Coturnix japonica: one gene and its partner. The protein of the gene in region 1 interacts with the protein of each later gene in a pairwise test. Links are inferred from orthologs where the notes say so. Each region holds a gene or a part of one and is shown on either strand. Other genes may lie near its edges.

Region 1 (4,835 bases):
GACATGAAACCCTTGAGTGGGCATGCCAAGATTCACTGTCTAAAGTGAGAGCTGAAACCGAAATGTCCCCCCCCAAAGAGCATACTTTTGTTCCCTGAAGGTGTTAGAAGAGATGGCTCTTGCTGTTTTGTTTTGTGTTGTTTGTTTTTCTTTTTTTACGGTGAATCCAGTGGAAATCGACAGCCGAGGCCAGCCCAGAAACCTGGAGAGAAGGTTCTTGAGAAATTACATTCAGGAAAACCCAAGAGCAGTTTAACTTTGTACTCCCCATCAGGACAGGACGCTGCCTCTTGATGCGCAGGGCTAAGCACTGCCTGGTGCCTTTGCTGTGCAAGTTTATTCAAGGTACTGTAACATTAATCCCCATTGCTCTTTGTTTAAGCAGACTGAGCTCAAGCACTGTCCCACTAAGCATGGTGGAGAAGCACTGTTTGTGGTTATGCATCAGGAGATTGATTTATTTGCTCCTACTAGCTCTCCCCATACTGTTTTGCCTTCACACACACACACACACACACACACACACACCAACTATGTTTGAAGGTGGTTGTTTTTGACACACCTTTAAAGCCAGTAAAAGAAATGAAATGTTCATCGTTCTGTCCATGAAACCTGGCAAAGGAGCTGCACTGTGACAGGAACATTTGGTTGTGAGAACAGCTGCCATACTGTAACGGCTTAAAATACATTGGAGATAACTCTTTTAAAGAATAAGATGTATTCTAATGACCAGTGATGGCTCTAAAGCATTGCAAGAACTCAGTTCAAAGCCCTTGAAATGAATAACAACCCTTCTGCTGACGTTACTAATCTTTGGCTCAGGCTCATTAATGTATTTCAGATATTATAACCCCGGTGCCAAAAAGATGAAAAAATTAAAATGTACTCATAAAAATAGACATCAAATGTTTTTCTGTTCTGGGAATTAATATAGAAGCTAAATGCTTCTGCTAGCGCTTTACTGCTGATCTTTTCTTACTGTTTCTGAAGGAATTAGTGGGGCGAGTGGCTCATTTCAGCCAAGGCTCTGCCTCCAGCAGCCACCCTGATCTCATGCCACACAGACTGGGAAAATGCTATAACCACTGTAATAGTTTTCACTCTAGCCCTGTAAATCAGCTCTTTCCGGGACGTGCTGTGCTGATGGAGAGGAGGGGGAGGAAGGATGGGAGTGGAAATAGAGACATTCGGGCAAGAGTTGCCCACCTTTAGCTTTCGTGTGATTCATTATGGATCAATACTGTGCTCACGAGCTTTTATAGCTCATTAACACCAAACAGCATCAAGATATAAATTTGTTATAGTGCTTACCGAGAACTCGGGGGCATCTGGAAGCAGACACGAGTGACCAGTAACTCAGGGACACAGCGGGATACAAAGGAAGCACAGATTAGTTGACCGATTTGTGCTCTAGGTAGAAAACAGAGCTCGAGTTCTGACCCAGCTCCTGATCTCCAGGTGCCGGTCGAAACGTGCGTGGCGTGGGCATGTGCGTGTGTATTGCTGGGGAGGACGAGGAGAGGGAGCGTGACCCGCTGTGATCCCTTGTGGGACTGGGGTGCCGGCAGCTCGGAGCCGGCCGAGGTTTCCCTCAGCCCTTCGGATGCTTTCGGGTCGAGCACTTCTCCGGGAGCCCCGCGCAGCGGTGCGGTTCTGATCCGTGACGTCGCGATGTGAAAACGCAGCGTCAGCTCGCAGCTCCGGCTGCGGGGAGCCCGAGCTCTGTCCCTTTAAGAAACCGAGCGAGTCGTGATGCCGTTGTTTGTGTTGCTAAACCCCCAGGAGTCCAGTTAAGAAACGGGCAGCTGTCTCTTTAAGCGTGATTTCCTTCTATTGTATTTGAATCGTGATCAGGAAAAAGGAAATGAAACCGGAGAGCCGGGGCCGCGCCGCTCAGCACTAATAGCGATGCCGAGCTCCCCGGCCGCAGCACCCGCCCGGCTCCGCGGGGCGAGCTGAGAACCGCGGCCGGGCAGGCACCGGAGAGCGGCGGGCAGACAGCGGTGGCCGCGGTAGTCGCCCCCCGCCCGCCCGCAGAGCCGCAGCCGGGGGGGCGGCCCCGGCGCACGGAGCGCAGGAGGAGCGCGGCGAGGATGGGAGGTTAGAGCCCGCGGGCAGCCCCGCCGCCGGAGCCCGGCAGCCGCCCCAGCCCGCGTTTGTGTCTCTCTTTGGTGTTGCAGGAGGAAATCCTGTGAATGTCATTGGGGGGCGGAGGGGGAGCGCGGCCGGTGACAAGGCGTCGAGAGCAGACGGCCTTTGCGGGGGCAGCGGGGGCAGATCGCACCACAGGCACGCTACAAAGGAGCCATCCCTGCCAATGTCATCGGCCATCGAGAGGAAGAGCCTCGATCCTTCCGAGTAAGTGGCTCTTTTTCTCCCTGTCTCCCCACCCCTCCGTTCCTCGCGGTGCCACCGACGGCAGCCTGCCGGCCCCGCGCTCCCCTCCGCTGTCACGGGGACCCCTCTCCGGTGGGGGTCTCTGGGGCCGGAGCACGAGTGCTGGACAGCCCCATTGGGAGGCGGCTGCGGGCGCAGCTCCGGGCCGGGCGCCTCCAGCCGCCCCTGGGTTGCGGGACCCGCTGCGGGGCTCTCGCCCAAGCTGAAAGCGGTTGTCGTTTGGGGTCCCCGGACCTGCCCCGCGCTCTTAGCCGATTATACCGAAAGGTCGGAGCTGTTATCTGTGGGTGCCCGACTTCCACATTTGCACAACGCGAGGCGCTTTGTAACTTTCAAGGTCTTTGCTGGGGGAGGTGTTGCGCAAAAGGCGTGCAGAGGGACCCCACGGTGCAGGTGGTGAGAATTCCCTTCCCCGTTTTTCATGTTCGTGGAAGGGGCCGAGCCGCAGGTCCTGTCCTGCAGCCGGTTCTGTGCAGCCTTCCCGGACATTCACCGTCCTTGACTGGGGCGACTGTGCGTGAAACAGCGCTGCGTGCCTTCGTAGCTGCAGTTACACCCCTTTGGAATCGTGATAAGAGAGAAAGAAAGAAAATCTCCTGTTTCAGATAGCACTTAAAACATCGCTCTTAGTTAAGTTTGGTCGTCCGCGGTTTGTTCCCTGCGAGATATTCAAGTGCCGTCTCTTGTAGCTGTGAGTGTGCACAGGGGAACCATCCCCACTGTGGGTTAAATCAATTCCTGCTGTGTTGTGTTTGATGTTTTGCGTGCTACGTTTTTTCTTCTATCATCTTTGAGAAATCAGCATCTGAACTCCTGGGTGTCAGTGTCCCACTTTGCACTGCAGTGCTTTAGTAGAATTTATTTGCTTTCCTGCTCAGTGTCCTACTGACTTCTCTGGCATGCAAATATGTGGTGAAGTGATGAAGAAGAAAGAAATTCTGTTCCTCAGAAATGTGTGGGGCTGTTAGAGAGCTGCCTTGTGATTCCCAGAACCTGCGAGACCAAAATATTTTGGGGCTGCAATCTCAGGTTTTGCATAATGTCCAATAAGGGACACTAAGGTGTATTCCCTTGCAGCTGCACTCTCTGTTGGGTGGCATGCAGAGCCCAGTCTCTAGGAAAGGAACTCTGGGGCTCAACTGAGAAAGCTTGGAAGAAGCAGGGCCTGCTCCTTTCACAGCCCACACTGTCTGGAGTTTCAATGAGAGCTCACAGAGCCTGGGGAGCACCGCTGGGGCCCAGCAGCTTGAGCACTGGGAAAGCAGTGGGCTGAGCGTCTTGTCTCATCACATCCCAGGGCTCAGCTCATGAGAGCTACAAGGATCAGTTTCATAGCACAGAAGTTGTTGAGCAGTGGTCATTTCTCCACCTTGTTCTAAGTCATTTTTCCCTAGAAAACTGCTAACCCGCTAAAAACACTGTATGGGTCTCCTTGTGGCAGCAGTTATAGGATTTCTCCTGTTGCCTGCTGGAATCCCAGAGCAGCCCAGTTCTGCCTTCGGCATGTCTCTGTGCTGCCAAGGGCAGAGATATGGCACTGGTGGACTGAGAACCCCAAACAGTCTGAGGTTCTGCTCTGCCTCCTGTTGAGCACTTTGGTCATGGTCCAGTAAAGCAGATAAACCTAAAGGTGCAAACCTGTAATTTCCTTTCCACTAGCAGAGGGCTGAAATGATACAGGTGCTAAAGGACTGATCCCAAAGTCTTCTTACGAGCTTCACTGGAGTCTGGATGAGGGTCTGTGTCACTGCAGAACTGAGCTCACATGCCTTCCTTTTAGGTTTTGAGCATCGTATAAAATCCAGGCTTCATTCAAAGCAGCAGCAAAGCATAAACCAGCTTGGCAGCAGCCACATCTGTTGTAGTTATTTATTTAATGCTGCTCAGTGAAATAATATCCACAGAATTAGTCTTCAAATTTACATTCCCCAGAGGAAAGCTGGCTACATGTAGAATCCCTCAGGTACCTTTTCTAATCCAACAGTCCTCTGTGAGGCAGAATAGCCTTTGCTCCCAAGCAGAACTACAGTCAAAGCTCAAAGCTCCAAGTCTACACGATGGGCTTGTGTGCTTTGGGGTGCATGCATAACTGCTCTATGGGGCTCTTCAGTAAGTTAGAGGTAGATCAAGATGTCGTCTGAGTTCATACAGGCATTTATAGGTAAATCTTAAAAATACTGGGGGAAAAAATAAAAGGGGTTTATTTTGAATGGAAACTGAAGCCTGGCTATGTGTTGTGTCAAAACAGGATTACTGGAAAACAGGATATAGTCAGAACTTGTAGGAATGTGGTTGTTGGTCAGCCCGTAAGGACCTGACCAGTGTTTCCATAGAGAATCCAGGCACCTTTTTTAAATAAGTGTCTGAAAAAGTGCAGTCTTCAATCACATGAAAATTGTGTTGTTTGAAATGTATGTATTTTTAAGAACTGCGTGGAT
Region 2 (4,720 bases), on another chromosome or scaffold:
TACCTGAGGGGTTCCTTGCCAAAAACAGGCAACCTGCTGCTGCCTTCGGGTAGCAGAGCTCAGCTGGCAGCTTGAGAAGGTCTATAGGGTGCTTCACTCTCTGGCAACCAGGGAAGACCAGACATGAGTTTATTGGTTATAGGCACAGATCTAAAATCGAGCCCTACAGTCTTTCCTCTAGGCCTTATGCAAACTTGTCTTCCACCTGTAAACCAAGATTTCCTTCACGTATATTTAAATTCCATGCCAGTTTTATTTCTCATAATGTCTCATGTTTTTCCTCTGCATCCTTTCTTATCTCTGTAATGTTGGCTCAGTTGCAGGCTGTGCACCTCCAGTAATAACTGAGCAGCGTGGTTTTGCTGCTTGTCATTGAGAAATTATGCATGAGTTTCCCTTAGGGCTGTTGTTCTCCGGGAGCCTGGTGGGCTTCAGCAAACTGTATCACATGCAAACTGTATCACATGCAAACTGTATCACATCTTCCTGGTCCAGGGGGACAAATCGCTTCTGGGGGAAGGAAAACAGCAAGATTGTAAGCACACTGGCTTGATGCTATTACATTATCTTTGTTTATCATTGACTTCTAGTTTGCAGGCAGCACATGTGCATCTATTTAACACCGGTCATATTTATAAATGGAAACGTTCAGAAGATATTTGGTACTTTTGTTCCCGGGGAGTTACAGAAGGTTGCAGTGGAGGGGCTGTACAGAAAGCACTGCCTGAACTTAAAGCGGGGTGGCAACCCATGAAAACAGACAGGGACACAGGAGTGTCAAGAAGCAGCATTTTTGCACGTGCATCTTGCAAGAGGCAGGAGGTACCGAGTATGTGCTCCAGGTTTGTGAGTAGAGCCCAGGCCCTTTCAAACAGCAGAGCTGAACATGGAGCAGCTGCCGTTCCTCGTCCAGGCCTGGGGGCTAAGAGCTGTGCTGTCGTGGTGCGCAGCTCCGTTCCTTCCATGCAATGGTACCAACGTGGCTCCTCGATTTGTTGTTTTTGTGTGACAGCCCCATAAACAGCACGGCACGGGCAGAGCCCTGCAGCGCAGCGGTTGAATAAACCCTGCTGGGTTCGGGACGGCAGAAGGCAGCTTCTGTTGAAGCAATGGGGCTACGTGGAACCTACTGCCCTGACTTCAACTTGTCTTAGTGCACTGAGCCTCACACGCCCCACCGACCGGGCTCGTTCCAGCACAGCCGCTTGGCCGCTATCCCCATTGAAACAGCCTGGCTGCGGGAGCCGTGCCACCGGGAGCAGAAAGCCCCGATTCACCAGTTTATTAATAAAGAAAAGTACGAGGGGAGGGCTCAGCGTCAGCCCCAACGCTCGGTTAGAGGTGAGCGCCCGCCGCCAGGCGGGGACCCGCCCAGCCGCTGCCGCCCCGGGGCCGGGCTCTCCGGGCTGCCTCCCCCTGCCAGCGGAGGCCGGGGAGGGGAAGGGGGGGGTGGCCCGGCGGGGGCTCCCCCCGCAGCCCCCGGAGCTGCCCCCCGGCCCCATCAGGCAGCACAGCCTCGGCGCGTTCGCCCCTGCCCGCCCGCCCGCCGCCTCCCTCCGCCCCGCCGCCCGCCCGCCAGCGCGTGTGAGCTGCCTCCCGCAGCCTCGCAGCCTCGCCGGGCGCAGGCGGATCGGGAGCGCCCCGCGCCAGCCGGCTCCGGGGCCGCCGGGGGGGAGGGGGCGGGCCGGCCGAGGGGCCCCGGGCCGGAGGGGCGCGGGGAAGTTGGGCCGAACGTCGGGCGGCTCCCGGTGGAAAGTTGCCGGGAGAGGCTCGGGGCTGAGCGGGAGCATGGGCACGTTGCGGGATTTACAGTACGCGCTGCAGGAGAAGATCGAGGAGCTGCGGCAGCGGGATGCGCTGATCGACGAGCTGGAGCTGGAGCTGGACCAGAAGGACGAGCTGATCCAGAAGCTGCAGAACGAGCTGGACAAGTACCGCTCGGTGATCCGGCCCGCCACGCGGCAGGCGCAGCAGCAGAGCGCCCGCAGCCTGCAGGGCGAGCAGCGGACCAAGCGGCAGGCGATCTCGGCCGAGCCCACCGCCTTCGACATCCAGGACCTCAGCCACGTCACGCTCCCCTTCTACCCCAAGAGCCCGCAGTAAGCAGCGCCCGGCCGCCTGCCCGGTGGGAAAGTTGCGAGCGGCGGGGCTGCGGGAGGGGCCGGGGCGGCTGCCATCCTCGGGGCTTCTTTCCATCGGTACCGCAGCTCTTTAGTGGCCCCTCGGCTCCGGGACGCGGCCACGTGTGGCACCTGGCGAGCGCCGCTTCCTGCCGCCGAGCGGCCCCGGACCCCTTGCTCTCCAACACAGCGGAGCCGCGCCGCTGTCGCGCTCCGGCCGCTCCCCATCGCTGCCCCGGCACGGCGGTACCCGGCCGCCCTGCCCTGCCCTGCGCTGCCCCGCCGTCTCCTGGCAACCGCCCCGCGAGGATGGATGGAGGGAGGGAAGGGCGGCCATCGCCCGGCCCCGCCGCCGCCCCGGGACCCTCTTCCCGACTCCCCCTTCCCGCCGCCGTTTCTCCGCAGATATTTTGCCCTTTTAAGGAGAACGGCTGCGGCTCAGCCCGGCGGCGGGGAGGAACTGTGGTAGACCCGCAAAATGCCCCCAGACACCCCAGGAAGCCGGGGGGGGGCGGCTGCTGAGTACCCCCCCCCCCCCCCGGTGCCGGGCAGCTGAGGCGGGGTAAGGCGCTGCTCCGTGCTGCCAGCACACCTGTGTGCCTTTGGGATGGGGCTGCCTCTTCCTCAGCCACAGTGCACACCAACCAGTGCAGTGCACTGTCTGAAGCAGTGCTTGGTTTTAACCTCCCATGGGCAGTATTAGATGCGTGGTCCCCTTGTGCCATTTCCAGTGCTCTGAGCTAAGTTGCTGCTGCACACCTGGATCGCTGAGGTGGATCAGATGGCCTGATACCTGTGAGGCAGTGCTAGGTCTGTGGTTGTTTCAGCCACTTACTGAGTCCATGGGGCACGGCACTGCTGAGTGTTTTCAGTAGGAGCATCTAAACGGAAAGGAAGATATCCCTGTTTAAAAGTAAGCTGTATGTTCCGCTCACCAGGAGTGCTTATGATGAGAATCCAGATGAGCTGCTGTTAGTGGTGTCTGTGCTTGGGAGACTGAGGAATTGCACCTGGCCTAGTTTATTGGGATCATTAATACCCAAATAATGGGTTTTCTTGCACCTCTGTGCACGTGTTCACATGGAGAGTTTATGACTCAAATATGCAGAAGGACACATTCTGCTGATTCCTTCTGAGTTATGAGACTAGTGAGACATATCTGACCTTTCACAGGATCATTAAGGTTGGAAAAGACCTCTAAGATCATCTAATCCCAGCATCAGGAGCGGCACCTTTGTCAGCCTTTGTTTGCAGGGTAACTAGAAAAGAAGTTGTCTGAAGTAGCTTTTATTTCTCCCATCGCAGAGGTTGCCAGAAGTGGCTGCAGTAAGTGGGTAAAGACCACAGAGATGTCTGGGTGTTTTTCTCTGCTTGAGAAATGCAATGACAAATCTTTATCTCCCCTCCATCTCCTGGGATTGCTGCTCTGTTTGTTTTTCCACACCTTTGACCTCTCACGGGATATGTTCTGCCTGCTAACAGCCCGCCAGCATTGAAGTAATGCCGTGAGACAAAGTTTGTATCAGCACTTATTTCAATTAAGGTTTTCCAAAGCTGCAGACTGAAGAGTTACATTCTGAGTGAGGAACGGCCCAGCTGTTCAGTGAGATGTAACCTTTGTTTGCTTTCCTGTTTATTTAGAACATAAAATAATTTGCTGATACTTATAAATTGTATCTATTCTGTGGTACCTAGGAGTGGCCCTAGAGGAACCATCAGCCCCTCTTCATAAAGCCCACGCTTTCCTTTTTCTAAAATAATCCAGACAATGGTTGCAACATCGTCCAACCGGTCAAACCAGAGATTGATAACCTGTGATCTGAGAGGGAGACAACCGCTCTGGAGTGATTGCTTCCTGAAATGTAGGGCAGGAGCTGTGAGATCAGGAGAGGACTGGTGGCCTCTTTAGTTATGTCGCAAGGGGGTTTTGCTATCGTGCTGCAAAGGCTGTCAGCAGCCATGGATGTAAACAGGCAAGGGTGATGCAACCTTTCATTTTAATTCTGTTTGAAACTGGAATTCCGTGTGATGTGTCCAGCCACCAATTGAAATTCGTTTATGATTAAGTAATGAACTGCTGGAACTGCTTTTATATCTTACGTGATAGAATGCTGATTCAATCTGAAAGTAGTTGAACATTGTTCTGAGGAGGAATCTGTGTGCCTGGTTCTGCTGCTTCATGCTTAAGCTGCTGCTCTGGGTACGTGGGGCCTGATGCCCACCCAGCAACCTGGTCCTACTTGTGAGGTGGGCCAGGGCAGCCCTGCAGAGCTGCCTCATGAGTTGTCTGTTCTTCTGGCTCTTCTGGCATCCCACCTGCTTGTCTTCCCCTCCCAGAGCAGCTCGGAGAGCAGAGCGTCACACTTTGCAGGGATGAGTTTCCATTGCAGAGGATTATATGCTTCCTGACAGCAGTTTTACATGCGGTGTGTCAAGGACAGTGCAGAATGCGAGTCAGTCAAATGCTGCTTTCCTCTGTTTTGACAGGCCAGGTTTGGCAGCAGCAACGTGCTGCTGGTGGTGGATGGGGCTTTCCTATGCATAGGAGCACTCATGTGACTCACACCTCAGGCTTTATGCCTTGCAAAGCTGCATGGTGA

What was found. The genes of interacting proteins can lie anywhere in the genome.
Region 2: the proteins of LMO2 (region 1) and PRKG1 interact in binary tests that used the Homo sapiens proteins (3 or more experiments, as listed by UniProt). The two-hybrid records come from large-scale screens. The link is inferred for Coturnix japonica from reciprocal best matches to the Homo sapiens genes LMO2 and PRKG1.

The regions. Positions count from the first base shown.
Region 1 is NC_029520.1:6,397,786-6,402,620, forward strand, and holds the start of LMO2 (rhombotin-2), read left to right. Parts: upstream 1-1,861; 5' UTR 1,862-2,093; coding exon 2,094-2,100; intron 2,101-2,180; coding exon 2,181-2,358; intron 2,359-4,835. UniProt on the Homo sapiens protein: Acts with TAL1/SCL to regulate red blood cell development. Also acts with LDB1 to maintain erythroid precursors in an immature state.
Region 2 is NC_029521.1:5,668,416-5,673,135, reverse strand, and holds the start of PRKG1 (cGMP-dependent protein kinase 1), read left to right. Parts: upstream 1-1,660; 5' UTR 1,661-1,788; coding exon 1,789-2,099; intron 2,100-4,720. UniProt on the Homo sapiens protein: Serine/threonine protein kinase that acts as a key mediator of the nitric oxide (NO)/cGMP signaling pathway. GMP binding activates PRKG1, which phosphorylates serines and threonines on many cellular proteins.